4 linked regions of the Stegostoma tigrinum genome follow. The protein of the gene in region 4 binds, or shares a complex with, the protein of the main gene of each other region. Links are inferred from orthologs where the notes say so. Each region holds a gene or a part of one and is shown on either strand. Other genes may lie near its edges.

The links.
Region 1: the proteins of ap3d1 (region 4) and AP-3 complex subunit mu-1 are in contact, whole or in part, in a cryo-EM structure (PDB 9C5C), measured with the Homo sapiens proteins. The link is inferred for Stegostoma tigrinum from reciprocal best matches to the Homo sapiens genes AP3D1 and AP3M1. Residues at the interface, in NP_003929.4 of Homo sapiens: Lys29, Glu388, Gly389, Thr390, Thr391, Arg393, Glu429, Arg432; in NP_001307192.1 of Homo sapiens: Ser25, Ser27, Asp30, Tyr31, Glu34, Pro52, Asp104.
Region 2: the proteins of ap3d1 (region 4) and ap3b1a are in contact, whole or in part, in a cryo-EM structure (PDB 9C5C), measured with the Homo sapiens proteins. The link is inferred for Stegostoma tigrinum from reciprocal best matches to the Homo sapiens genes AP3D1 and AP3B1. Residues at the interface, in NP_003929.4 of Homo sapiens: Lys352, Leu442, Ile446, Ser471, Tyr483, Trp487, Glu491, His517, Ala520, Val521, Gln524, Asn525, Lys528, Val561, Gln562, Ser563, Ala564, Leu566, Glu567, Gln569, Glu570, Arg571, Ser573, Cys574, Gln577, Leu578, His581, Ile582, Leu585, Lys588; in NP_003655.3 of Homo sapiens: Asn75, Lys466, Lys467, Gln470, Val494, Ala497, Ser498, Trp501, Leu531, Leu534, Gln535, Asn538, Lys542, Asn567, Tyr568, Asp569, Asp572, Arg573, Arg575, Phe576, Ile577, Gln579, Leu580, Lys586, Gly588, Ala589, Leu590, Ser591, Tyr593, Lys596.
Region 3: the proteins of ap3d1 (region 4) and AP-3 complex subunit sigma-1 are in contact, whole or in part, in a cryo-EM structure (PDB 9C5C), measured with the Homo sapiens proteins. The link is inferred for Stegostoma tigrinum from reciprocal best matches to the Homo sapiens genes AP3D1 and AP3S1. Residues at the interface, in NP_003929.4 of Homo sapiens: Leu18, Gln19, Val22, Arg26, Cys60, Thr63, Tyr64, Gln66, Met67, Leu68, Gly69, Tyr70, Asp71, Ile72, Ser73, Lys87, Phe88, Thr89, Arg92, Ile93, Leu96, Gln100, His103, Tyr126, Leu132, Thr133, Ser136, Tyr161, Lys164, Lys165; in NP_001275.1 of Homo sapiens: Met1, Lys13, Pro14, Arg15, Leu16, Ser17, Lys18, Phe19, Pro22, Tyr23, Glu25, Asp26, Gln28, Gln29, Arg42, Asp43, Glu44, Asn45, Val46, Cys47, Asn48, Phe49, Ser80, Glu81, Ser82, Glu83, Leu84, Gly85, Leu87, Asp88.

Annotation. Positions count from the first base shown.
Region 1 is NC_081390.1:13,541,397-13,548,768, reverse strand, and holds the start of AP-3 complex subunit mu-1, read right to left. Parts: upstream 3,022-7,372; 5' UTR 2,766-3,021; intron 2,449-2,765; exon of another isoform or gene 2,430-2,448; intron 2,317-2,429; 5' UTR 2,167-2,316; coding exon 1,894-2,166; intron 1,188-1,893; coding exon 1,016-1,187; intron 1-1,015. Other genes in the region: adenosine kinase-like, read left to right, coding at 3,507-3,565. UniProt on the Homo sapiens protein: Part of the AP-3 complex, an adaptor-related complex which is not clathrin-associated. The complex is associated with the Golgi region as well as more peripheral structures.
Region 2 is NC_081356.1:107,905,628-107,912,584, forward strand, and holds the start of ap3b1a (AP-3 complex subunit beta-1), read right to left. Parts: upstream 3,011-6,957; 5' UTR 2,861-3,010; coding exon 2,724-2,860; intron 1-2,723. UniProt on the Homo sapiens protein: Subunit of non-clathrin- and clathrin-associated adaptor protein complex 3 (AP-3) that plays a role in protein sorting in the late-Golgi/trans-Golgi network (TGN) and/or endosomes.
Region 3 is NC_081356.1:77,147,935-77,154,956, forward strand, and holds the start of AP-3 complex subunit sigma-1, read right to left. Parts: upstream 3,005-7,022; 5' UTR 2,920-3,004; coding exon 2,779-2,919; intron 2,647-2,778; exon of another isoform or gene 2,195-2,646; coding exon of another isoform or gene 2,150-2,194; intron 1-2,149. UniProt on the Homo sapiens protein: Part of the AP-3 complex, an adaptor-related complex which is not clathrin-associated. The complex is associated with the Golgi region as well as more peripheral structures.
Region 4 is NC_081383.1:19,184,087-19,191,473, reverse strand, and holds the start of ap3d1 (AP-3 complex subunit delta-1), read left to right. Parts: upstream 1-4,381; 5' UTR 4,382-4,619; coding exon 4,620-4,715; intron 4,716-7,387. UniProt on the Homo sapiens protein: Part of the AP-3 complex, an adaptor-related complex which is not clathrin-associated. The complex is associated with the Golgi region as well as more peripheral structures.

The sequences.
Region 1 (7,372 bases), on a different chromosome or scaffold from region 4:
GCTGACTGACCTCCATATTTCTGCAAATATACCCTGGCTGACCTGCTTCTGCATCCTCTTTAAAATTGTACTTTTTCTTTTACTGACCCATCCATGGTCTTTTGACAAATATGAATGACTTCTCACTTTACTACATTCAACTTCTTCAGCCATTTCTCCACCCATTTCATGTAACTTACGTCCATTTGAGGATTTGCATGACCCCCTCTCAGTTCATTAAAAGATTAATTTTTGTGTCTTTGTCACATTCTGAAATTGTGCACGGTATAGATATTCATATTCATCAAGAAGAACAGGAATCTTATCACCAATCCCTAGGGCACTCGTCACATGAGGAAGGGTCACTCGACCTGAAACGTTCTCTAAAGATGCCGCCAGGCCTGCTAAGCTTATCCAGCAATGTCTGTTTGGTTTCCATTAAACATTGCTGTTTCCTGTTATTCAGCTAATTTCGAAAATATATTGCCACTGTAGCAATTATTTCATGAGCTCTTAACTTTGCTCATGTTTGTGGCACAGCAATTTGACAAATGCTTTTGCACGTCCATGTTCAGTATATCAACAGTGTTACCTCAACTGAAGTTAATTAAGCACAATGTGTATCTTCAATCTGATGATGGTCCATGCATGTAGACCCATTGCTCAAATTTACAATCTTACAGTACAGGAGGAGATGGGTCAGGCAATGCCTCTTTGAAAGAGCGACGTGAATTAGTCCCATCCATCAGCTTTTTTCCAACAGCCTTATAACTTGGTCCTCACCAAATATGTCTTTTAAATGTACCTACAGAATCTGTTTCCATGACTGAGGTAAAATATTCCAAATCTCAACAACCCTGTATGGAAAAACAGAAGTGTCTTCACACCCCTTCAGTTGTTTTATAAATTATCTTACTTCTGTAACCTTAGCTTAAAGACCCTCATGCCAGAGAAGAGAGTTTATTCCTAGTATCAAAAAAAATCCTCATAATTCTGAACACCACTCTTTTGCTGAGGTAGAGGAGCCACTTCTTACCTGTAATAGTATTAACAACAGAGCGAAGAATTGTAGGAGGTTTAATTAGTTCTTTTAAGATATTGGATTCAGTAGCCAATGGAAAACCATTATCCAACATTTCTTCCAGAAGTTCATACACGATAACAACGTTATCCTTAATTGAAGCCTCAGAGCATTCTCCAAAATAGTCCTGAAGAACAATGTGATAATGCAATTCCTTAATTAAACTATTTGTGTCAGACTGAAGATTTTTAAAAATATACACTTAACGGCACATTTTACAGCTTTGGGACAACTCATTTTATAGCTAGTACTTCTAAAAAAATGCAAGCACTTTTGGGTCAAAAATCCAAGAATGCTACACATCGTAAATCATGTCTTAAGTGATAATGATATTGATCAAGAGTCAGGATGCCCCTTTCCTTGTGACAGTATCAAAGGATCTTATGTCCGCCTGAGAAGGTAGACAAGACCTCGATTTCCTTTCTCATCTGAGGCACCCTCTCTCCCACAATACGTACAGTACTCCCTGAATACACTTGGTATCTCAAGGAATCAAGGGGTTTGGGGAGTACGTAAAAACTGTTGAATTAACCCCAAGAGGTTACACCGAATGGTAGAACAGTTTCGAATGGCCACAGGATCTCTGTTGTTTTCTTGAATTGTACACTCAAGTCTCTGGAAGGGGACTTGAACCCAACCATCATCTAACTCCCACCCAGGCTCTAGCTAGGACACATTCAGTGTTAGGCGCAACATCGGTAAATTCCCCAAACGAGATTCTCCTGCAAAGAGATTCACTTCACATCGAAATAAACTGACAGAAGACGCCGAAGGTAGTTCCATTTACAGTGACGGACTTTTTGATTTCCCCCTTACGTGTGGCGTGTACAAACCTGCAAAGTTTCTGCCACTCGATGGAGAAACTCAATGACAAAGAGAGGTGGCACTTCGGACTGAATGACAGCAACGAAGAAGATCTTGTCTCTGTACGTGCTGACCAAGTAGTGATGGGGTGTGGGGATCACCGGAGGCACATTTTCCGCCTCCGCGGCTTTCTCCAGGGCCTCGAAGAAATAATCACAGACTGACCGGCTCACCACACTCTTCCAATGTTTCTCCAGAAAGATATCGCCAGTGTTGTTGATGAGAAACAGGCTATGGATCATTTTTTTCTTGTTTCGTCCCAGCGGTTTATTTGTGTCCTTTTAAACCGTGAAGCGGTGTTGCCCGGCCACACGAACAGCCTCACAGGCATCAAATCAATCCGTCAAAGAGCAGCCCCAGGAATATGGCGGCGGCGCCGCCGGAAGCAGCTCCTGGAAACAGAAAACGAGATTTTAAAGAAAATATAAAACATTCATGAATCACCGCACGAGTTCTGCACGAAAAAGGGGATTGAGAGGGGAAGTGGGTATATTTTGGTGCTAACCCAATTGGAAACAGGTTTGTTTTACTAATTCCATTGCATGTAAATGAAAGGGACAATCATGGGTCGCTTTCTCCCAAAATGTCACGTCCTGTGACTTAAAAACAACGCCTTTCATGTCTCTTGCTGGGTCTCCATGTACTTTTGGGTTTTCAAAATTATTACAGGCCAATTGATTGATTGTTGCGTCGTTTCCCTATTATGGTCCAAATCGACTTTGTGACTTCTTTTACCTATAGATTTCTTTTTTGTTTGCATCATTAATAAAATTGATAGCCATGTTGTTAACAGACCGATCATTTTATTTTTTACCCGCCCTCTCGCGTCTGCATCCAATACCTGAAAACTACCACCGAATAATTCTGAAAATTTGGCAAACCCAGGCTTCACGCGCTTCTATTCAGCTGGTCACTGCTTGCGACTTAGTGGGCGGGTCTGGACTGCGTAAAATGTTAAGCGACAAATATTTCACGTTATGAACTTGAATGGTCTGCTTTCCTAAAGTGCTCGGGCCCCGCTCCCACTGCTGACTGCTTGTACCGCCCTCTTGGGCTGCTGATGTGCTCTGAGATAATGGGAACTGCAGATGCTGGAGAATCCAAGATAATAAAGTGTGAAGCTGAATGAACACAGCAGGCCCAGCAGCATCCTAAAATGCTGCTGGGCCTGCTGTGTTCATCCAGCTTCACACTTTATTATCTTGCCAATGTGATCTGCCTACTCCGCATGCGCATTGCCACGCTAGCCCCGCCCTTGTCGTTTCTCCTTTGTACTGGACCCCTCCTGTCCACGTCCCGCCGCTCCACCCATTCACACTCCTCCCCACGCGCCGCCTCTCCGGCACCATCCCTCTCCTCATTTGCATACCGTCAGTCCTGCCCCGCCCCTCAACCGCAGGGCCCAACCCCGACGCGGCTACAGTTCTCCCCCGCCCCCTTCCTCTAACCGCGCATCTTCACTCTGTCTCTGACTTCCTCGCTTAAGTTCCACTGTGCGCAGGTCGTTCCCTTCCTCGCGGTACGCGCGTCTCCCCTCTCCGGTTCCTCCCTTGCAGCGCGCGGCGGCGTGAATTGGGAAGTAATGGCAACGGACGGACCTCAACCGGCGAAAAAGATCAAGCTGCAGCACAATTCCCTCAGGTAAAAAGGAACACCCAGTCATGAAAACAGAGTGCCTGATCTTTTGGTTTATATTTAAACGGTGATTGTTGATGGTTTGAAACCACACTGCCCCCAGCGCACGTTCAAAGATTTTCTTCATTCATTGTCAGGAAAAGTCGATCATGCCTTTCGTATAATAAGCAAGAAATATTTCAAATGAGTGTCTGCCACGCCGTGCATTTGCAGCAATTTTAAGACAGCAGGTTTGGCTTCAAAGTTGTGCTCTACTCCCACGGGCATATTCGACTTATAGACTCTTATTTTTGAAATATACGATTGGCTTTTGTGGTGGTTTAATTTGTTGCTGAGATTTTTTTGTTAGTTTTTCTTACTTGCTGTTGTGCCTTTTGTTGAAAATCTAACCACGCTGGTCAGACTCCTTAATGTTGGACTTTTAATTTGTCTTCCCTCTCTGTACTCAAGGTCACAAAACAGCCCAAACGACCTTTCACGTTGCAAAGGAAAAGCTTCAAGTAATGCCAAAGCCACTGCCTGTTTGAAAAGTCATTAAAAATTCCCCAAAATGTGGTTTCATTGGACCTTTCATGTTGTATCAAAATTGCAGCTCATGAAACTCGGAGACTAGTAATCAAAAACACAACCCAGCGCTCTTCCCACCCACACCCCCCCCCCCCCCCCCCAAAGTAATTGCGTCCTGGCTGGTACTAACTACCCCTGCACAAAATAGACTTGGACAGCAATCAAGTGCCTGCAGCTCTTCACTCTGTCTCTGACTGACTCGCCCACCCCCCGCTTAAGTTCCACTTTGCGCAGGTCGTTCCCTTCCTCGCGGTACGCGCGTCTCCCCTCTCCGGTTCCTCCCTTGCAGCGCGATTATCGCTGGTTCGATCTCAATGTCCGTGTACAGGTCCACAACAGTCAATTTTCATCCAGATTTGCTACATGCATCAGTAGGGTGTTCCTTCGATTTCGTGAAGATCACGAACGAATTTATTAAGCACGCTGCAGTTTGCCTACTTGTGATCTTTTTATTCCATTTGGTTTTTTGATTTCATTGTTAGTTTCCATTTAGAAAATATGCTTGTCTATTTCAGCTTCGCAGCCTTTAGTATCATAGAATACGAAGGAAAATTAGATTTTTATTTATGCTAATTAACATTTATCATTGTGCATTTCAAAAATTCATGGGTGGGACGAGTCTAGGGAATTAAGCAGCTCACAAGTTGGGTGTCATCATGAGCAGAGGTAACAAGTTGCCATAATGAAGCGATCTATAATCAATGGAAATTCTTAACCGTGACAACGTTTGTGTTGGTCCTTCGCTTTTTTTTTGTTCAATTTGCTCAGTTAACTAAAATTGACAAGTTTTTTTTAAATATCTGATTGGAAACCAATCCAAGATTTTAATCCAGGATTTTTCTGCATATTTTGTTTTTCTGTTTCCTTATTCTCTCCCCTACCTTTATTATTTCAGGGGAGTGCTGTCAAGGCCATCAATTAATTACCTGTGAGCTGAGACTTGCTTGGCTTGAAAAAGAGGCTACGAATCAGCTACTCTGCTGTGGGTCTGGAGTCAAATATAGGCCAGATCTGTTAAGGGCATTCAATTTCTACCCTACCTTTTACCATGTTGGCAAAACATTATTCTGGGTTAATTGTCCAGGGCAATAACAATATGCCACTCACATAGTAAGAACTGCTGCTCCTGGAGTCGGAGATAATAGTGTGGAGCTGGAGGAAGACAGCAGGCCAGGCAGCATCAGAGGAAGAGGAATGTTAACATTTTGGCTTGGGACCTGAAGAAGGGACCCGACCCAAAATGTCAGCTTTCCTGCTCCTCTGATGCTGCTTGGTCTGCTGTGCTTCTCCAGCTCCATACTGTGTTAACACTCTGCCACTCTGCCTTTTCATGCTAGCTCTTCTTGTGCCGAAGATATTGTGTAGATGTAGCAGCTAAGTTATGCAATCCTGTCATTTGACAATTTACTGAGTGTTCTGTTCCACTTGTTTACTCAAGATATAACTCTTAGATTAAAGCTGTGGAGGTTGACTTGTGAAACTCTACCTTTTCAGTCTAGTAGCAAGAGAGTTGGTAATATAGCTACAAGGTTTGAAATGATACAAAAAAAGTAAATATAGAGCGTAACTTCATGGCAGCTAAGAAAATGCAGTGAGGCGGGCAGTTTTAAATGGAAGGAAAATTTGGCATTTGTTTATGCAAAGAGTCTTGTCTTGCTGATGACATTGAAAGGCTTAAGACAGATATTTTGGTAATGTTTTCCTAAATGATTGAGTTACGCTGGGTCACGTTTGTATTTGTGCTGTGATTCCTGCTCGTTTAGCGGCCACAAAGGCTTAAAAGCCTCTGCTGAATGCTATAATTGTAGAAGGAAAATATAGAAAATGCTGTTTTGAAGAAGGGTCCTTCATGGACTCAAAACATTAACTCTGTGTCTGTGTCCACAGATGTCAAGCCAAAGCTCCAAATTGTACACAATGCAGCAATCCTTGATTTTTAAAATAGACCTTTTCCTATTTTGATCCCCAGTCAAAATACAGAAAATTAAACATTAGTTTATTTAAAATTAAACAATTTAGCATTTCTGAAGAAGAGCCTAGGCCTGAAACATCAGGCTGCCTGGCCTGCTGTCTTCATCCAGCTTTCAACCTTGTTATCCCAGATTCTCCAGCATCTGCAGTTTCTACTATCTCTGAGAAAATTAAGCAGACAGGTTCTTTACACTATAATGGAATTTAAACCCAAATCCAAATTTTTGTCTATGCCTATCGATTTCTGATATTCCCATTATGATATATATTGTAATGAGCTTGTTCTGTGGGAGTACAGTTGATCTGGTTTCAACTGCATACAGTCAGTGTGTGCTATAATCATTTTTTGCAGCATATTTACTGTTACATAATTATACTTCATAACTTGTTTAATGTCTCTGCCGTTTGCTATTCTGCGTTATTTCTCCTGTGTCAGTTTTAAGGGACCCATATTTACTTTGATTCTCTTATTGACGTAAATATGTAAGCTTTCTCATTGAACCTCATAATCTTTGGATTATTTCCTGAGCAATTTGACATAAGGAAAATCAAATTAGAGAGGAGAATACTTGGCTCAAAGTCTGGTGTGGGAATGGTGTGTTCTGGTTCATGCAGCTCTGGTACCAGAATGAGTGCATGTCGGATCTGTATTGATCAGATGATCTGTGCCTGAACAATGCTGGAGCTGGTATTCTTGCCAGCTGCATAACGAGGGAAGTAAAATGTTGTGATAGTCTTACCGGATTATAGGCTAACTCTCTCATGTGAGCGAAATGACTGATGATGGTTTAACCTAAGTGTCACCACACAGCAGGTGAGAGGAGAGGTTGAGAAGGAGAGTTTGTCATGGTACTTTGGCTGGGGATGGCAAGGGATCAAATTTGGGATGGTGATAAATTAAAGCATAGAGCAGAGGTCAAAGAAGAAGGTAGTACATGGGAAACAGACAGTTGAAGAGATGGCAATTATAAGGGTAACAAATAATTAAGATCAGACTTTACAACATTACTAAGGTACAACTAAAGACTCCATCTGAATTCGCTATTATCGCATTTGAAAGAAAACTGATGAATTCAAAGTGCAGCTACATATGAACAAGGATGATCTGGTAGTCTTTTGCCCAGTGACTGACTTAACCTGAGATATTTTGCAGCCCTGTGACTTGCAAGGTCTTGGATTAATCGTCAGGCATCTTACTACTTCACGGTTTATTTTTGTTTATCTTTGAATTTACATCACCTGTAATGTTTCTTTCCAAATCCCAGGTAGCAACAT
Region 2 (6,957 bases), on a different chromosome or scaffold from region 4:
GTCTTTGGAGAAAATGGTGTTGACTGCATTCTTGAATCACTGCAGTCCATATACTGTAGGTTGACCCACAATGCCCTTAAGGCAGGGAATTCCATGATTTTGACCCGGTGAGAGTAAAGGGATGGCAATATATTTCCAAGTCAGGATGGTGGCTGGCTTAGAGGTGAACTTGCAAGTGACAGTGTTCCCATGTATCTGCTGCCCTTGGCCTTCCAGATGGAAATGGTCATGAGTTTGGAAAGTGTTTTCAAGAATCCTTGTAATATCCACAAGCTGCAGTTCAAAAATTCACCAAACTGGTCCTACTGAGCATTGGAGGAGGGGTTGTGGTGTAAGTCAAGTGGGCCACTTTGTTCCTGGACGGAGTCAAGCTTCTTGAGCATTGTTGGAGCTGCTCAAGTGGGCAGTATTCCGTCACATTCCTGACATGTCAAGTAGGTGGTGGGCAGACTTCAGGCAGTCAGATGGAGAGTTACTCGCTGCAGTACTCCTAGCTTATGAACTGCTGTTGCAGTCACTGCGCTTCTGTGCAAAGCCCAGTCTTTGTCAATGCCAACCCCCAGGATGTTCGAAGTGGGACATTCAGTGATGGAAACACCGTTAAATGTCAAGGGGGCAATAGATTGTCTTCAACTGAAGATGGTCACTACCTGGCATTTCTCTGACACAAGTTTTGATCACTACCCTGAACAACTCCAGCAGAGGTGCCCTACAGCTGAGATGACTGGCTTCCAACAATAACAACCACTTTCCTATGACTCCAACTAGCACGGAGTTTGCCCCCCATTCCCATTGATTACAGTTTCCCTAAGGCAACTTGGTCCCATTTGGAGTCAAATGTGGCCATTATGTCAAGGACTTTCACTCTCCCCTCTGGAATTCAGCACTTCTGTCCATATTAAACCAAAACTGTAATAGGGTCAGGAGCTGAGAGCCCTAACAGAGCCAAACTGGGTGTCAATGACCAGGTTATCGCTGAGCAAGTGCTGTTTGACAGCACTGCTGAAGACATTTCAACACTAACACTACAATGGCTTTAACAGGTGTATTTAGTGCTTCGTTTTGAAGAAAGGTTGAGACAGAAGTATGAGCAATCTGCTTCAAAGCCCATAAACCCCAAAGTGGCTTTGGACTTTTTTTCCTAAATTTGGAAAAGCAGTAGCCTGAATGAGTCATGTCAAGCTCCCACAGAACTAAGATTTTTAGTTTTAGTTTTTCAGTGGCAGTTGCTGGGGTCTTGAAGCTGGATGTGGAAGCTGTTTTTTCTCTCTCTGTTACAGCTAAAAGCTGGGGATTCTCTTCCTGCTGCTAGAATTGCATGTGAGACACTATTTTATTGAATTTGCCTTTGCCAAGGGTGTATTTAAGAGTTAACTAGGTGTAGAGCTGGATGAACACAGCAGGCCGGCTGATGTTTCGGGCCTAAACCCTTCTGCAGAAATTGTGCTCTGATGCTGCTTAGCTTGCTTTGTTCATCCAGCTCTACGCCTTGTTATCTCAGATTCTCCAGCATCCGCAGTTCCTGCTATCTCTGTGTTTAAGAGTTAATGTTTAGCAGTTAGTCTGTTATTGTTAAGTATTCCAGCAGTTAGGTTATTTGAATTTTTATTGTGTTTTAACTAAATGTGCAAATAGTGGTATTTTTTGCTTCAAGACTGGTAGTTGACAAATCAAATTGTATCTGGAACACCACACCTGACCTAGGCTGTCATAATGATGGGGTGTGCGCACACTTGGTGGTTAGTCTAGTCTGGTCTGGTCTGGTCTAGTCTAAAAGGATAGGAAGTAACTGGAAAAAACACACAAAACAATGAGTGTGGTTCCAGGGATAAGGAACTTCAATTACATGGGTAAACTGGAGAAGTTTGGGCTACTTATTTTGTAGAAGTTTAAACAAGATTCAATGGAGATATCCAACATCTCACAGGCCTCTCGACACGGTAGAATACTGAACTAAAACCCCACTGTTAGAAGGCTCAAGAACAAGATGCTGCTGTTGGAGTGGACAAGGTCAAAAATCATATTACACCAAGTTTAATCCAACAGGCTTATTTGCAGACAGAAGCTTTCAGAGTCTCATCTGAAGCCAGAGCGGAACTCCCAGAAGTTGTCTTCGAATAAAGCTGTTGGACTATCGCCTGGGGCTGCAATTTTTGACAGAGAACAACACTGCACAGATTGAAACTAAATGGCAAAAGAAGCAATGGTGAGTGGATGAAAGAGAGTTTTGGAACACATCAACAACCTGGAACAAATAGTCTTAAGGTATAGTTTAATTGTAACATCTAAAAGTGAAGTAGATTATCATTTGAAAGGGGACACTACACAGTCTTAGTGAGATAGCAATAAATAGTTTTAAGTAAATTGCTCATTCAGAAAATGATGCAAACATGACAGGCCAAATAGCCCTTTTCAAAGCTGTCACAACTAAGTCTCTCATCACGTGACGTTTGTAAAGTGGCCATACTCAATAATTTACAGCACTTCAATCTAAAACGAAAGCTGGGGAAAAAAAGCACCGATGTAATGGACTAAGTACTTGCTCACAGTAAAGTGTTTAGTCGCCTTGGGACATGGATCAGCACGAAAAAACAAGTTTGCCAAAGGCCTTTCACGAAAACTATATTTCACAACAAGGACTAGTAGCACGAAAGAGTTCCTGTATCAGAGAACGGAGCAGAAGGAGTGTGTAAAATCCGGCATTCAGGCGCTCTTTAACCTACTTCTTGTAGTCTACGCTGAAGAGCCGGAACCCAGCTGCTGCCCCTCCTCCTGAAGTCACTGCCGAGGCTTCTTGGCCCAACTCGGTCGATTCACTTCCCAGAGCCTGATCATTGTAGGACGTGCTGTTGGTCGCCATGCTCGCCCCGTGTCCCGGGCACCAGCTGCCAAAGTGGTGTGAACAGTTAGTTTAATCTGGGTAATGTCGAAAAGTCCCCGCCGCCTGCCAGCCGGTCCCAACTCGAGCGACACCGGAAATCTGCCGGGGGAGGAGGTCAGCTGACACCGAGGTCACATGACCCGGCGATACCATGGAAACGCCCCTTGCACATAACCGTCGTGACGCCGCCCTGCTCAACTGGAGGGGAAAGAGTTGCTGTTTTCTTCTTTAAAAACACTCAATGCAAATTCGTGGTAAGGACGTAAGAGACGGAGTAGGTCACATTTATAATCACACGTCCCTTTCCAAAACGACGATGCCAAATTCAGGGAGTCGTCGTACAAGAGGAAATTGGCTCAGAAATATAAGTAAGAAACGTCTCAGGTTTGTTTGTTGGATGGAGTCAAACTCCTAATGTGTGTGTAGTTATCCATATGCTACTGTACAGAAACGACTGTATGTACATAAAGATATGTCTATGAATAAAATATGTTTTTAAAGTTACGGAAAAGTTGGCCCACAAATGAGCCAAATGAAATGAATGAGATGAACAGTGGTAAATGAAAGGTAATTGAAACTCAGTGTCAAAGCCCATGTAATGTAAGAAGGAACATGCTCTCAGAGCATCACCACTCTAATTATTACAAAGGGTTACACTCTAATAATGTTACTACTATGCACCCAGAGAGAAAAAGGGAAAAAAAAACTTGGAAATGTACTGGTCATATTAGAGCACTATTGATACTACAGACAGGTTGGACTAGTATGCATCATTTGTAATTTTTACTGGTATTTCATCAGGATTTTGAAAATATTTAGCAAATCTTTTAGATTTCTTCTGCACTGTCTAAAATGAACACAAAACAGAACAAGCTCTTTGGACCACCTTGAAAAGCATTAACATCCTTCTTGTACACATACTCCAGCTGCTATATAATTTCATTGTAACCTCCCTGCTCCTATTAATGAAATGTAGAATACTGAATATGCTTTATTGACAAAGAACAAAGAAAATTACAGCACAGGAACAGGCCCTTCGGCCCTCCAAGCCTGCACTGATCCAGATCCTCTCTCTAAACTGTTGCCTATTTTCCAAGGATCTGTGTCCCTCTGCTCCCTGCCCATTCATGTATCTGTCTAGATACATCTTAAATGATGCTATCATGCCCACCTCTACCACCTCTGCTGGCAATGCGTTCCAGGCACCCACCACCCTCTGCGTAAAGAACTTTCCACGCATATCTCCCTCAAACTTTTCCCCAGTCACCTTGAAATCGTAGTAATTGAGTCCCCCACTCTGGGGAAAAAGCTTCTCGCTATCCACCCTGTCTATACCTCTCATGATTTTGTGGACCTCAGTCAGGTCCCCTCCTCAACCTCCGTCTTTCTAATGTAAATTACCCTAATCCACTCAACCTGTCTTCATACCTAGAAGAGACAGTTCTCTCTTTGTCTTGCCACTTTAAATGACTTATGTATAAATACCCAGACCTTATTCTCTGACACACCCTTTGGAAAAGTGTAGTTTCTTTTATTCTGTCTCTACACATGTTTGTACCAAAATGTATCTCCTCATACTTCACACTGAACTTTATCGACCCACTCAACAAAAGTGCCAATGTTCCTTTGAAGTTCTGTGTTGTCCTCTTCAAACTTCCAATTCTCCTGAGATTTCTGTCATCCACAAGGTTGAAAATTGCACCTAGCACATAAGATCTCAATCATTTATTCCTATGTTAGGAAAAGCAAGGATTCCAAAAGTGAACCCTGGGGGACTTCACTACAAACCTGGCAGCACAAAAAGTATCCATTATCTATTAAGCTCTGTTTCCTATCTCAGTCAATTTTGTATCCACATTGCTACTGTCCCTTTTATTCCATACGTGATAACTTTCTTAATAAGTCTGGTTTTTGTGTGGCACTGTATTGAATGCCTTTTGGAAATCCATGTGCACCATATAACAGCTTTGTCCTCACAACAACAATACAAAAGGTCGAGCAAATCAGTTAGACAAGATTTTCCCTTAGTACGTCCAGACTGACTCTTCTGAATCAACTGATATTTTTTCATATGTTATTACCTCTATTCTGAAAAATTGTTGGCATAGTTAACACCAAGAAGGAAAGCCTTAGTCTATAGGGCTATATAGACAGACTGGCCTGGTGGGCTGAACAGTGCAAATGCAATTTAATCCTGAAATGTGTGAGGTCATGCATTTTGGGAGAATTAACAAGGCAAGGGAGTACCCCTTGAATGGTAGGACTCTAGGGAGCGCAGTGGTTCAAAGAGACCTTTGTGTGCATGTCCATAGATCCTTGAAGGCATCAGGACAGATAGATAAGGTCATGAAGATAAGGTCATAAGGAATACCTACCTTGAATAGTCAAGACATTGAATACACAAGCAAAGAATTGATGATTGAGCTGTCTATAAAATTGGTTCGGCCAAAGCTGTAGCACTGTATGGAGCTCTTATTGTCACTATAGGAAAATGTGATTGCATTAGAGTCAATGCAGAAGAAATTTACCATGATGTTGCCTGGACTGGAGTTAATCAGCTATGAAGAAAAACTAAATAGAAAAGAAGAAGAATTGGCTGACAAGGAATCTGATTAAAGTATACAAGGTTAAATAGATAGAGAGAAACTTTTTCCCTTAGCAGAGGGGTCAAAAACCATCTACAAGATGCACTGCAACAACTCACCAAGGTTCCTTAGATAGCACCTTACAAACCAGTTCTCTCTAGAACATTAAAGGAAAAGGACATCAGGTACATGAGAACAGCACCACCAGCAAGTTCCCCTCCAAACCACACACCATCCTGACTTGGAACAACATCGCCATTCCTTCACTGTCTCTAGGGCAAAATCCTGGAACTCATGGATTGTAGCAGTTCAAGAAGGCAACTCACTACCATCTTCTCAGCACCAATTAGGCATGTGTAATAAATGCTAGGCTAGCCAATGTTGCCCACATCCCATTAATTCATAAATAAATTTCAAAACACACCAACATGTTTAGGTTTAAAATTAGGCCTTGCAGATGATGAATTCAGAAGGCAACAAGAAGGGAGAGGAAGAGTATTAAAGAAGGAAAAGTAAAGTATACAAATAGAGGCCACCAAATTCAGGAATTTTTATTAGAGTGCGGGTGAGAAGATGAGTCTATTGTGAAACACCTTGAGAACTATTGAATTTGATTTTGTTTGTATTGTCAATCATGAGATGTTGTATTAGCAGTAGATGAGACAATATTGCTCAAAAAGTAAGAATATCAATAAAAAACAGTCCCCCTACACAACATCTGTGTTCTACTTCAACATTTTTTCTTTATCTCTTTATTTGTATCTAAGATTTGTACCTAGGTATTTTGTATCTGAAATGACACCAAGTGGGGCAACATTGTAAACTTTTCACTGTACTCCTGTACTTGAGTACTAATGACAGTAAACCTACAGGGCATTCTGCTATAATGCGCATTCCAGCAACACGAATTGAGAATGATGCAATTGACAAATCAGTGAATGGTATTTCCACAGTGCGAACTTTGTGTTGGCTGTAACATGATTCCGTTGAGTCCACTGGACCTGATGTTATTGAATGTTTTTCTTTGATTCACAATACTCAAGGTGAAACCTAACCATTGATTCATAAGGTTTTAGCACAACTTCCTTTTTGTTAACTATGCATCTATTTATATCCATAGTCTAACACCTGCCTTTCTCACCAAAACCTCAGTTACATACTTCCAAGCTGAATTATTTTCAACAGCTGCGTATCTTTGACTTAACTACAAATCCTAATCCCTCCTTTTGCTCCGACACGAAATAAATGTGGAACATTCAAAGGTTGATGAGGTTTGCGTGCAAGATTTCATGGCTGCCGTCAAAGCTACCCTAAAGAATTTGTATAAAAATAGTCAACATACCAGTTCTTGAAATATCAGTTCCCTCTTCTGGAACCTGTTACTGTATAACAGTGAGGAAAATTTCGGGTTTGCTTGGCTGTGGAGCAGGTAGTTTACCAACATTCACCGTCGAGTTCTGTATGGAGAACAGTCACTTGAGCAAGATTGAG
Region 3 (7,022 bases), on a different chromosome or scaffold from region 4:
AGATTCTAAAAGATAAGGGGCAAGCATTGAGATGAGGAAGAATTCCTCGGCTCAGGAGAGGGAGGAATCTTTAGTGTTCTCTGCCCTAGTGGGCTTTGGAAACTCTAACTGTATGTAGTCAAGACAGATAATAAAATGTGAGGCTGGATGAACACAGCTGGCCAAGCAGCATCTCAGGAGCACAAAAGCTGACGTTTCGGGCCTAGACCCTTCATCAGAGAGGGGGATGGGGGGAGGGAACTGGAATAAATAGGGAGAGAGGGGGAGGCGGACCGAAGATGGAGAGTAAAGAAGATAGGTGGAGAAGGTGTGGGTGGGGAGGTAGGGAGGGGATAGGTCAGTCCAGGGAAGACGGACAGGTCAAGGAGGTGGGATGAGGTTAGTAGGTAGCTGGGGGTGCGGCTTGGGGTGGGAGGAAGGGATGGGTGAGAGGAAGAACCGGTTAGGGAGGCAGAGACAGGTTGGACTGGTTTTGGGATGCAGTGGGTGGGGGGGAAGAGCTGGGCTGGTTGTGTGGTGCAGTGGGGGGAGGGGATGAACTGGGCTGGTTTAGGGATGCAGTGGGGCATCTGCCAATCTGCCAATGTGGTATACTGCATCCACTGTACCCGGTGCGGCTTTCTCTACATTGGGGAAACCAAGCGGAGGCTTGGGGACCGCTTTGCAGAACACCTCCGCTCAGTTCGCAACAAACAACTGCACCTCCCAGTCGCAAACCATTTCCACTCCCCCTCCCATTCTCTTGATGACATGTCCATCATGGGCCTCCTGCACTGCCACAATGATGCCACCCGAAGGTTGCAGGAACAGCAACTCATATTCCGCCTGGGAACCCTGCAGCCATATGGTATCAATGTGGACTTCACCAGTTTCAAAATCTCCCCTTCCCCCACTGCATCCCTAAACCAGCCCAGTTCATCCCCTCCCCCCACTGCACCACACAACCAGCCCAGCTCTTCCCCCCCACCCACTGCATCCCAAAACCAGTCCAACCTGTCTCTGCCTCCCTAACCGGTTCTTCCTCTCACCCATCCCTTCCTCCCACCCCAAGCCGCACCCCCAGCTACCTACTAACCTCATCCCACCTCCTTGACCTGTCCGTCTTCCCTGGACTGACCTATCCCCTCCCTACCTCCCCACCCACACCTTCTCCACCTATCTTCTTTACTCTCCATCTTCGGTCCGCCTCCCCCTCTCTCCCTATTTATTCCAGTTCCCTCCCCCCATCCCCCTCTCTGATGAAGGGTCTAGGCCCGAAACGTCAGCTTTTGTGCTCCTGAGATGCTGCTTGGCCAGCTGTGTTCATCCAGCCTCACATTTTATTATCTTGGAATCTCCAGCATCTGCAGTTCCCATTATCTCTGTAGTCAAGACAGAGATTGATTGAGTTTTCAATACTAATGACATCAACAGATACCTGGATGATGTGTGAAAAAGATGTTGAGATAGATTATCTGCCATGTTAGAACATGGCAAAGTGGATGCAAGGGGCTAAATGGCTGATTCCTACCCCTAATTAAACTCTTGCCAAAGACTGGAGAATAAAACTAAGTTAACACACCACACCCATCAAGAGGTGATGTTCAATTCACAGTGATCTGCTTTCTAAGCCGGTATATGAAAAAAAACCATGACATTTCTTTTGAGCAGCAGCAAGGGAGTGATCTCTAGCATCCTTGCCAATACCAACAGATTCAAACACACAGTTTTTGAATTATTGCATGACTATTTGAGAGACCTTGTTGTATACAAAGTGGCTGCCAGGTGTTCTTCAGCGCAAGAGATCGTATCAGTTCTGACGATGGTCACTGGACTGGAAAGTTAACTCTGATTTTCTTTACAGATACTGTCAGACCTGCAGAGTTTCCTCCAGTACTTTTTGCTTGTTACAGTCCATACCTCATTGGCTGTAACGCACTTTGCCACTATATAAATGCACTCTGTATTTGCAATAGTAATTAGGGTCTGATAAAACTTTATTTTTGTAGGAATACTAGAACGCTGTACAGTTAGACACATAATGCCTATCGCCTTCCAAGTCTCCGATGATCTCACATCTCAACCTTAACTACTGATGTGCCAATATATCACAGCCCTTTCCCTCAGACGCCCCCCTAATTAGAAAGCATTTATCACAGGATGAACTCACAGGGTAGCCGCTACTGGATTTCAACCGCTCCTGCCTTTCCAACATGTAGTTCGAAAACTTTTGCTTTCGATAAACTCAAAAGGTACTTCGTCCCAATGCGTAAATAACAAATGTTGCTTTAGTTTAGTATTTTTCTTCTTCGCTGAACTTTAAATGTTTGTTTTGTCTGACCTCGTGTGTTAAAACAACGCTTCGTGCAGCCGATGGCTGTATGCTGCAATTTCGCAACCACATAGATCGGGGAGGACAACCTGAAGAACAGCGTTTCGAAAGAAACACCACCTATCTCTGCTTTGGAATATTCAGTACAGCTCATTGAAATAAAGCCTGGTGTAATCTGTACACCAACTTTACAGTTGCCGACGGGCAAATCTTCGAATTCAAAATACGGTGCTCGAGTGCCGGTGGGCGAAGTGGAGCGGTTCTACTATGCGGCTGTGACAGCCCAATGTAGAAGCTCACTTTGAGAGCAAGACTCCGTCTCTGTGATGACGCCAGGTTGCTCCGAGCGCAAGCCCTACTTTGGAATGTGGCCTGGAGCGCGTGCCCGGTTTAGATGTACAGACCGCACGCGGAAGTTGACAGTTTAACGGGCGCTTCGATCCCGGCCCTCTCTCCCTCATACTCACATAGCGCTCATAAAACTTGGAGAGCCGCGGCTTGCCATGGTTGTTAAATATCAGGATGGCTTTAATCATGACGACCGGACAGCCCTCTTCCCGGAGCACCGACTGGCAGTTGAGAATTGAAACGAAATTTCTCCGAAACATGAACGTAAAAACCGAGGTGGGCGGAACCGAACCCGAAGTGAAGCGTCCGTCACAGGAAACTTCCTCCCAGCTGCCAGCCCTTTACACCGTGACGGCAACCACCACCGTTCAGGAAAGTCATTGCGCTATTTCGAAACGCCTATCAAACGGCCTTAGAGATAACTTTAGGAACACCCGATTTAGTTTCTGAGTGGGATTTTCTTTTTTAAAAAAACGTCGTAAATTCAAGACGTTTTAAAATGGGCTTAAGTTAACAAAAAATGTATTAAAGCTTTTCACGCGATTTTTTTGGCAGTGGTGGGTGCTAGACTGCTCGTTTATTAGGGTACTTAATGATTTCACAGTCTTCTGTAGGTATTTTCTATCACATTGAGTAAAACGAATACATACTTTTAACGGTCTTTATTGAACGATTTTATTCCTATCTTCCGTCGGAAGATCAGAGATTTTCAAGAGTCAAGATCAGGATTCCATGTTGAATGACTTCCTTTGGCACAATGACAGGTGCATAAAGGTGCGGGTGGGACGGAAGGCGAAGGTTGACATTTGGAATATGTCCAAACGGATTGACTTTTTTCCTCGTAGAGTCATAGTGTTATACAGCACCGAAACAGACCTTGCAGTCCAACTCATACTCGCCAGTTAGATATCCTTCACATGGTATTCTAAAAGTGACCTTACCAATTTCCTGTTTGTCCGTATCATGAATTCCCAACTCCTGTACTCAGTGCTCTGATGAATAAAAGCTAGTGTGTCAACACCTTCCTCACCATCCTGTCGACCTGCAACTCCACTTTCAAGGAAATATGCATTTGGACCCCAAAGCCTCATTGTTCAGCTTCCTCTGGTCCTACCATTAACTGTGTAAGTCCTGTCCTGGTTTTCCTTACCAAAGTGCAACACTTCTCATTTATCTAAATTAAACTCCTGCCACTCCTTGGCCCATCTAATCAAGGTCCCAATTTACACTGAGATAACCTATTTTACTGAAGAAGGGTCCCGACTGAAATGTCAAGCTTTGCTGCTTGGCCTGCTGTGTTCATCCAGCTCTACGCCGTGTTATCTCTAACCTTCTTTACTGTCCACTTTGCCAACAATTTTAGTGTCATCTGCAACTTTACCAACCATACCTTTCATATTTCACATCCAAGTCATTTATATAAATACCAAAAAGCAATGGATACTATTGCACACTGCTGGTCACAGGTCTCCAGTTTTTTAAAAAAACCTTCTACCACCAGTCTCTCCTACCTTCAAGTCAATTTGTATCCAGTTGGCTAGCTCCACCGAATCCCACGTGATCTAACCTTGCTAAGCAGTCTACCATGTGGAACTTTGTCAAATGCCTTGCTAAAGTCCATGTGGACAAGGTGTACTGCTTTGCCTTTGTAAATCTTCTTTTTCGCCTATTCAACAAACTCAATCAAGGTAGTGAGATACAGTTTTTCACAGACAAAGCCATGTTGACTATCCCTAATCAGCCCTTACCTTTCCATATACATATAAATCCTGTCTCTCAGAATCCCGTCTAAGAACTTACCACTGGCACTAGGCTCACCAATCCATAGTTTCCTGGTGTCTCCTTACTACCTTTCTTAAATAAACCACATTAGCCGCCCATCAGTCATCTGGCACCTCACTTGTGACTATTGATGATACAAATATTTCATCAAGCACCCAGCTTCCCTCAAAGTTCTGGGATACAGCTGATCAGGACTTGGGGTTTATCTGTACCTAGCATTTTAAGACCTCCAGCACCTCCTATGAACACTTTTCAAAACATCACTATTTATTTCCCAAGTTCTCTAGCTTCCATGTCCTTCTCAGCAGTAAATACTGATGTGAAATATTCATTTAGTATCCTATCCATCTCCTGTCGTTCCACACGTATATGGCCTTGTTGATCTTTAAGTGTCCCTATTAGCTCCCCAGTCTTTTGCCCTCAATGCATTTGTAAAATCTCTTTCGATTCTCGTTAACACTATTTGCCAAAGCTCTCTCGTCTCCTTTTTGCCTTTGTGAAATCCCTCTTAAGTACACTCTTACTGCCCCATACTATACCCCAACTGTCTACCTAACATGTACCTCCCTCTTCTTGACAGAACCTCAAGTTTTCTAGACATGCAGAATTCCCTATACCTACCAGCCTTGCCTTTTGCACTAATAGAAACACACTGTCTCTGAATTCGTATTAATTTGTTTTTGAAGGTCTCCCATTTTCCAACTGTATCTTTAGATGTGAACCTATCTCCCCTAATCAACTTCCAAAAGATCCTTCCCAATACTGTTACATTTTGCCTTACTCCAATTTAGAACTTCGACTTTTAGATCAGGTTTATCCTTTTCCATAATTATTTTAAAACTAGTAGAATTATGATCACTTGCTCTAAAGTGCTTCCCCACTGGCACCTCAGTCACTTGCCCTACCTTATTTCCTAAGAGAAGGTCAGTTTTGCTCCCCTAGCTGGTACACCCACGTACTGAATAAGAACGTTTTCTTATACACGCTTAACAAATTTCTTTTCAACCAAGCTCTTAACACTATGGCAGTGCTAGTCTATGTTTGGAAAGTTAAAATTCCCTACCATTACAACCTATTCTTCTTGTATATCTGAGATGTCCTGACATATTTGCTTCTCAATTTCAAACTGATTATTGGGGGCCCTATAGTACAATCCCAATAAGTTGATCATCTCTTTCTCAGTTCCACCCATGTAACTTCACTGGACGTTCTTCCAAGAATGCCTTGCCTAAGTACAACCTAATGTTATCCACAACCAAGAACTCCACTCACCCTCCTGCTTTGCCCCCACTTTCTATCTTCCCTATAATTTCTGTAGTCCAGAACATTAAACTGCCAATCTTGCCTCTCCCTGGGCCACGATTTTCAAATAGATATAATTTCCCAGTCCCACATTCCCAATCATGCCCTAAATGTATCTGCCTTACCTGTCAGGCCTCTTGCTTTGAAATAAATGCAGTTTAATTTATGAGCCTTACTTCATTCTCTGCTGTGCTCTTGCCTGCCTTGACTCTTTAACTTTCCTTATCTACTATACTAGCCTCAAACCTATCTCTTTTCTCGCTATTTCTTTGGGTTCCATATTTTATTTGTGCCAATTTGTTCATACAACCCCGTCCTAAAATACTTCACTGACTTCAACATTGTTAGGGAGCAAAAGTACAAAATTAAGATGACAAGTTGTCCTTAGTTATGTGAACACTGACATACAGACAAACATTTTGTAGTTAGTTTCTGCAAGCTGATCAGATTTCCTTTCAGCTAAATGCATCTGTTGAAGTATAATCAGAAACAAAAACAGAAATTGCTGGAAAAGCTCAGAAGAGTAGATCCAATACCTTGGAAATATCACATCCGCTGAGAGCTCTAAAACATGTACATCAAATTTTTTTCAATCATTTAAGAATATTTAGCTTGGATTTGCTGATGCAATCAGATTCAGCAGCCTCCTTCGATAATGTATTCCCCACAACCGTCAATCCTTGAATGATGTAGTAGTTAAGATTTTCTACAACGCTTAGTTAATTTTCAATACAATTCAAGTAGAGACAACTTTGAGTTAAGGATTGGCTGTGTTACCATTTTAGCTACAGCCATATTGTGGTACTAATGCAAAATTATATGCATACTGCTCTGCTGAATATTTATCAATTTTCTAAGACAGGCAGGAAACTTCTCATATTTTTTGCGGGATCTTATCTAACTTATTACTCTAGTTTATCTTGGTTCTTATAGCAAACAAAGCTCATGTTTTAAATCTTCAAATCTTTAATAATGTCCATCCTGGCCTTGAGGCTTACTTCAGTAAATAGCTGTGAGCCCAAGTAAACAAATAGACAGCCCTGATAATAAAATGTGAGGCTGGGTGAACATAGCAGGCCCAGCAGCATCTCAGGAGCACAGATGCTGCTGGGCCTGCTGTGTTCATCCAGCCTCACATTTTATTATCTTGGATTCTCCAGCATCTGCAGTTCCCATTATCACAAATAGACAGCCCTGTTTGATAACTGTGGAGGCTAATCAGCTTGTGCCTCTTTCTGAGACAAAAAACAAACTGCAGATGCTGGAATCCAAGGCAGAC
Region 4 (7,387 bases):
ATACAGAGTAAGTACACAACTGAGTATTAACTGGACTTGGGTACAATTAGTAAATGTTATGTTGTGACACCATAAGGAATGGGATTAGAGGGATACTGCACTCCTCCAGTCTAGGTCATAACAGTGGGAATTGCCCCTTTAAGAACATCAGTTGCAACAAGACGCGAAGATCATCCATAGGCCTTTCCCTCATTAAATTAAATGGGGTGGAAGGAAGAAGGCTGTGGGAATTCTCATCCACAACTCACCATAGGAATGCAGTAAATTCCACCCATGATTTCTTGGTCCTGCAATCAAACATGTAAATAATGGGTTAGTTAAGACATGCAATTAGGTTCAAGCAGAGTATCTAGATTGAGGTCAACAAACCATTACTTTCATTTTCAAAGGTTTGTGTAATTATGAAAGGGAATCTTCTAAAGTCCTTATCCTAGCTTTGGACCTCATAGGCACGAGACATAAGTCCGAAGCAGATTTTATAAACCTTTCAAACTCTATCAATGTGGATGAAGGAAAGTCTGTGTTTATCTATGAATTGAATTAAACAGAATATATTACAAATTCTCTAATCATGTGAAAATTATTGGATTGTTTTTATGCTGCCGCTTAACCATTTCAGGAAGCTGCTTTATTGTTCATAGTTTTAGTTGTAAAATGTAACAGAGTAATTATTATCTGCCACCCGAAGCCAAAGAATTCATGTCACTTTTCTATTTCTGTACAATTCCTGCACAATATTGCAAGACACATAATGTAAAGTCACAATCTAGCATGTGGCAATGATGTTCAGTGATGATGATGGTTTCTCCGTTACTTCAATGGATATATGCTTAGTAAGGAGTCTCATTTTTTTCCATTTAGGTTAACGTGTGTCTCATACAAAATGGTAAAGCAATCTCCATTTGCAGTTCAGATTGCAAATGTTATATAGCAAATCATTCTGTGTGAACTCACTGGCTTTGTGATGTGTTTGACTTGACCCTTTTCTACTTAAATGTTGAGAGTGCTTGATGTCAGAGACGTCTCAGACATACCCTGGAGCATACCTTGGACTGTGATTCAGTCATGGGCAATGTGGAAGTTGCCTGGAGTAAATGGTGAGCAGAATATGCCAGGTACCCAATTTGGTTTTGATGTTGAGGTTTCCTGACATCCAGCTTTTTAGGTGAGTTTAGTAAGATAGGGCCTAAATATTAAGGATGCAAATTGGGCCATCAACCCGAATTTTAACCAGCAATAACACCCCCCCCCCCCCCACTTAATTGGATCATGGCATTGACTCAACTTTCGTGCATTGGTGGAATTTACCGCACACTTGTCTATACCAATAGAAATGGTTTTCACAAGATTCGTGATTCCAAAGAAGCCTTGTCAAAAAGCTTTCAATGCCTAATGGCCTTCCAGAAACCTTTTTTTCAAATAACTAATCCATGTAACTTTTTTTCCCACTGAGAAATATTAAATGCCTTCATAACAATGCCCACTTTAGGGTTATATCCCACTACTGCAGGAGGCACAGCATACATGGAACTCTGGAGGGATTATTTGCAACCTTCAAGAGTGTGAAGGGTTCCCTTTTTCAACGGTATTTATAGCCTGATTAAGGATTCCACATCGAGTAGGGAGTTGGCCTGGTAACAGCAACTTTCTCACTCCTCCTGTTGATCCCCCCAAAGCCCTTTTACCAGAAGTCCACATCCCATGAATAGCCTCCTACTACCCTTCTCCTGTGCCCCGGTCCATCAGCAATGCTGGATCTTATCTGGTGGTGTACTGGCAGCAGCCATCCCCTCTCCAATGGCACTACTTGCTGTAGAAGGGCTGCTAGCCTCTGACTGGCTTGTGATTCTTAGTGGGTGGAACTTCCATGATTTTGGCAGAAGGCCCTCCACTGCTCTATCAAGTGCCTGTGATATAGGGCTTTTGTCAGCTGTCCAACCAGTGACCAAGAACCCCATCTTCTCCATTAAATCCAGCCCACACATTTGATGAGTGGTTTCCGTCTGCATTTACAATCAGCATGTATTTGAATGGACATATTTCCTACAATTGCAACAAATGAATCGATGCACATAGGCACTGGAGAAATTCCTTCCCAATGTGCAGCACTAAATTTACTGTGGTGAGTCAGATCTTCAAACAGCTCAGAGAAAATGGAAACTGCAGATGCTGGAGAATCCAAGATAACAAAGTGTGAAGTTGGATGAACACAGCAGGCCAAGCAGCATCTCAGGAGCACAAAAGCTGACGTTTTGGGCCTAGACCCTTCATCAGAGGGACCCGAAACGTCAGCTTTTGTGCTCCTGAGATGCTGCTTGGCCTGCTGTGTTCATCCAGCTTCACATTTTGTTATCTTCAAAGAGCTATTGGTTCATTTTGTGGTCAGTGTCAAGTATTGGCACTTATCACTAAGCTTGAAGGAACACACCCTCCTAGATTGAGCAATTTCTGTATGATGGGTTTTGCTATTACTGACTTTAGTTTCAATTTGACTTCTTGTTGAGCAACTTGACGTTAACCAACCAATCACAATAAAATAGTCTTCAGGCTGCAAACCAGGAAATAAAATGCACTGGCCGTTCTTCGCCTTAGAGTGAAATAGATGTTTAAGTCACACACATTTGAAGCTTAAATCACATTGGAAAAAGAGAACTTAAAGTGGAATGGAAAAAAAAATTTAGACAAATATGAAATTAGTTTTCAACAGCCAAAGAGACTATTCAGCAGTAGTACAACATTTAAAAAAAGTCATACTTCATTGACAAGTTGCTGACTTTGGGTCATCGCTGGTGGTGGTTAACGGCAGTATTACAACATAAAAGACAAATTGCTGACTTTGGGTCAACGCTGGTGGTGGTTAACAGCAGTATTACAACATAAAAGACAAAGTTCTTTGTCTGTTTAGTGATTCGAAGTTGATCACAGTTTGAGGAAGTTCGACAGTATGCCCTAGTGAAACAATTAGAATCAGTGGCAGCAACTTCTACATCTGTCTCCACATGTACACAATGGCAAGAGATTATTGATTTCAAGAGGAATAACAGTGGCACTTTTTCATTATCATTGCTACCACAAAATAGCGAGGGGGTTCAAAAACAGGAACAGGAGTGATTTGCTGTGACTGTACAATAGATTTGTAAGACAACACCAGGACAGTGTGTGCAGTCTCAGTTTAAGAATAAAGGGTTTGCCTCTTAGGATTGAGATGTGAAGAAATTTCTTCACCCAGAGGGTAATGAGCTTGTGGAATTCTCTGCCAAAGGAAACTGCTGAAACCAAAACATTGAACATTTTCAAGTAAGTTTTAAATATGTATATAGGTCCTAGGACCAAAAGGATCAAAGCAAATGGAGAGAAAACAGGGCCAGCCATGATCGAATTGAATGGCAGAGCAAGCTCCAAAGGCTGAACAGCATTCTGGTCCTATTTTCCATGCTTCTATGTAAACTGGACTGAAAATTAGAAATCTGAAAATCAGAGTCTTTGAACGTTTTAGAGTTGATGCAGATGAGACACTTGATGACCAAATGGGTAAAAGATCATTGGGTCAGGCGGAAATGTGGAGCAATCAGATCTTGTGATCTAATTGAATCACAGAGGAGGATTCAGGAGCGAGTGGCCTATATCTGCTCCCAATTCGTATCTTCATACCCAACTGACTCAGTTTCATACGCACGGCCCAACTGAACACCACAAAATCATGCTTACAAAGGAAACCATAAAACAACGGAGAGACTATAAACGGTCTTATGCAAGAAAGCAATCTTAGGAAACGAAGATTCTGAGTGGAAATATCAATAATTGTGAAGATGAGCCAACATCGCACAGCCCTATCAATGCTGGCCCACGGTCCTGCGGCACAAGACTGTACCCCTATCAACGCCCCGCCCCGCCCCCTCCGGTGCGGGCCCCGCCTACTCTAGTTGTGGTACCCTCCCACGGACGCCCGCTACCGCCCACTCAAGGTCCCAACTTCTGCGCCCAGCCCCACCGCATTCTACGCCCCACACTGGCCTCGCCCACTGCAAGGGCCCGCCCTGTTTCCCACTGCGCCCCGTCATGGGCGCCCGTCCCTAGGCCGCGCCCTCTCCCGATTAAATCTCCGCCCACGGCTGGACAGACCACACCCACCATCTGTCCCGCCTTCTCCTGCCAAAAGCCTCTCCCCCTCTTAGGACGCGAAGAGTTCGCCCTGTCAACGCCACAGGCCCCGCCCCCTCCACAGCGGGACCCCGCCTATGTCCCATCCCAGGCCCCGCCATCTCAAACAACAGTCCCCGCCCCCTGCCGGACCTGCCCCCTGATCTCTAGGCTCCACCCCCACACTCCGCCGCGCTCCTTCTTTTCTCCTCCCCTTTCCAGTCCCGCAGTTGGTCACCTGACTCTAGCTTAGCCGCGGCCATTTTCTGTTGCTATCTGTAACCTGTAAGTGGGGGACAGTGCAGAGGCAGTATAATTCATTGTTGTGGCTCCGCTGGTTTATTCTACATTCCCTTTCTACGGTTGTGTAGATTCGGGAGAGGAAATCTGGCATGTTTTCCAACATCGGTGGTCGGTGAAAGGGAGAAGGGTTTGTGTAGCTCTCAAGAAGATCCCGGAGAAAGCCGACCCGAAGGAACATGGCTCTGAAAATCGTGAAAGGCAGCATTGACCGAATGTTTGACAAGAATTTGCAGGACCTGGTACGTGGCATCCGGAACCACAAGGAAGACGAGGTGAGTTGGAGCTGTTTTGCAGCCACCGTCACATCGCTGTCACACGAGAATGAGGAGGATTAAGAAACACGGGGAAAGTAACTACAAACGAATGTATCCGAGGCCTAGCATTGATAACAACGGGACAAACCGATCTTTCCATTCTTCACTTCGGCCCGGCGCTCGGGATAGTTCATTTCAGTCTGGAAACTGGGCTGTGGGACGAGCAGCTGCTGTTGACAGGAGCTCCCAAGAATCGGCTCCTTTTTTTCTTCTAACCTGTTTTTGCCTGGCGTTTAATTTCCTTGCGAAAATGTAAATCTGTGTTAAAGCAAACGCCCAAAATAATTGTTTCCCTTGCCAGCCGTCCCCGTTTCTATCTCCCCTCCAACAGTAATACTTATTTTTTTTATGAAATTGACAGTTGAGGGTCCAACTGTGTTTTGGTCCAAAAGCTGATAGTTTTGCTGATGCTGACGTTTGGTAACCTGATCACCAAGGGACGTATGTGGCCAAGCTTCTGACTTGACTCACACCTTATTGCTTACCTAATTGTGCGCGAATATGTTTTACGTTTGTCAATACTTTACCTACATAAACGGAAAATGTGCACATATTGAAGTCCTGATGCGTTGTTGTTGTCTTGAATTTCTCAATACGGCATTTCATTTTGTTTTGACACGGTTGTTTAGTGTATAAAAGTGGTCATTCACTCCAACGTAGAGTTGTAAAACCTTTGGTGATGTCGTGGTAAACCTGTGGTATAATCCTTGTTTGATAATTTTGGTACTGTACCTTTTTGTGTTTCTTTAGCTAACAACTAAGTTAACCTTTTGAGACTGGAGATGACAATGCTTTTCAAAACAGATGTTTTAAACATAGTGGAAAGCTCGCTCTTCTAACAGGAATAGCTTTACTCAAGTTAAATTAACTAGGTTGAGTGCAACCAATATTGTGCTCCCCCTACGATGACAGAATTTGTCCTGTGTACTAGGATCAGCTATTTTGTTTTAAAATAGTGAATGAAAACGAATGTTTGAAGTTTTGTGCCACTTGACACATATATACAGATTTTATCAGATGTTGATTAGTTCACATCCATTCATAATTATGTTGAAAATTTTAAACACTTGCTATTCATTAAGAAATACTAGTTAGATCACAGATTTAAAGAGCCAATTCCTCATAAGTTTCACTTCGTCTTTTGTAGGTGACTGTGCAACTTGAGGGAGAGGGGGTAGGATATGTTCAATGACAAGCATTGTGTTGGGGTGAGACAGGCTTGCTGGACCAACCCCAGTCCAGCATTGGAGCGCTTAAAAATCGAGGGTGGCACTGCAATACTGTTCTGAAGGACATTGTTAGATATGGCATCATGCGCATGAAAGGCCATCTGACTACTTGAATGAACATAAACATTTTAGCACCAATTCACTGAATGTCAGGGTGTAAATTCTGGTGCTCAAGTGAATGATTACCCCTTGATCAACATCTCAGAAACATCTGGTCACTGACATATTGGCTGTGAGAGCTTGATTTGTGCAAATTGGTTTTGTGCATTTCCAACACTTAAAATACTTAATTCACTGTATCATTCTTGGAGTAGTTGTGAAAGGTGCAACAATGCAAACTTTGTAGATTTGAAGAAAAGTTTTTTTGTTAATTTTTGTTAAGGGTACAGTCATCAGGTTACATTTCTTTGCGGCAGTATGAAAGTTTTAATGTGGGAGTTGGAGTTTTGTGAATGTAATCAGGTTGTGAAAAAAGCTTTATGCGTGCCAAACTGATATGATTTGTTGGGGAGTGGAAGAGAGACGGAATGCAGTTTTGGGCTTTTTTTTGGAACTACTGATTTGTTAGTTCTTAAGCAGAAGAATCATTTGGGAACAGTAAAACACCAATCGTGTAGGTCAAGGTACCTTAATTTTGTTAGGAGAATGAGGATAGCCAAATTAATATTGTCAAAAGTAATTTGACATGTAAACTTCAGCTATAACATGATTAAAATTGGTTTATATTTTGAGCGGTTGTATTCCTTTCAGTGACTGCACAATCCCAAAAACTGTGAAATCATCTATAGTCGGTGTTTCCAACTGCACTTTTTGATTCTGTGTCCTGATTCCTTTACTTCAAGTTAAACTTTTAAATTATAATATTTAGCATGTTTGCTTCATTCGATTAACATATGCTGCAAGCATTGGGACATGTATTTAAACTTTATTTAGGTTTCTGAAGTTCCGCCCATGCGTGGTCTCTATGCACCAGAGGAAATTACAAATAATAGCAAAAGTTAATATCCATGGAATTCATTTTAGTAATATAGCAAAACACAGACTCCAATTGTGCCAAACTGCTCTGGTGAAGTTGTGTGGTTGCACGCTTCTTTTCATTCTGCATACTGCTAGCCAACATTATTCAGTTCTTAAGTAGGGAGTGTGTAATTGCATCATCTGACATTGGTGATATTGGAAATTGTTTAAATTCAATTTACGTGGCTGAAGCTAGTGCACAAATCTTGTTTCTTGACATTGTAGGGCTGCAGTTTTGCTTCAGTTCTGTTGATGCAAAAGTGCTAATGGCAAATGGGTGAGTCAAATCACCATAAGCATTTTAAATCTAAGTTGTATAATCCTTTCCAATAGCTGGCTTTGTGACCTCTGTGCTGCATGCTAGTTGCAGCAATCTTCAACTGT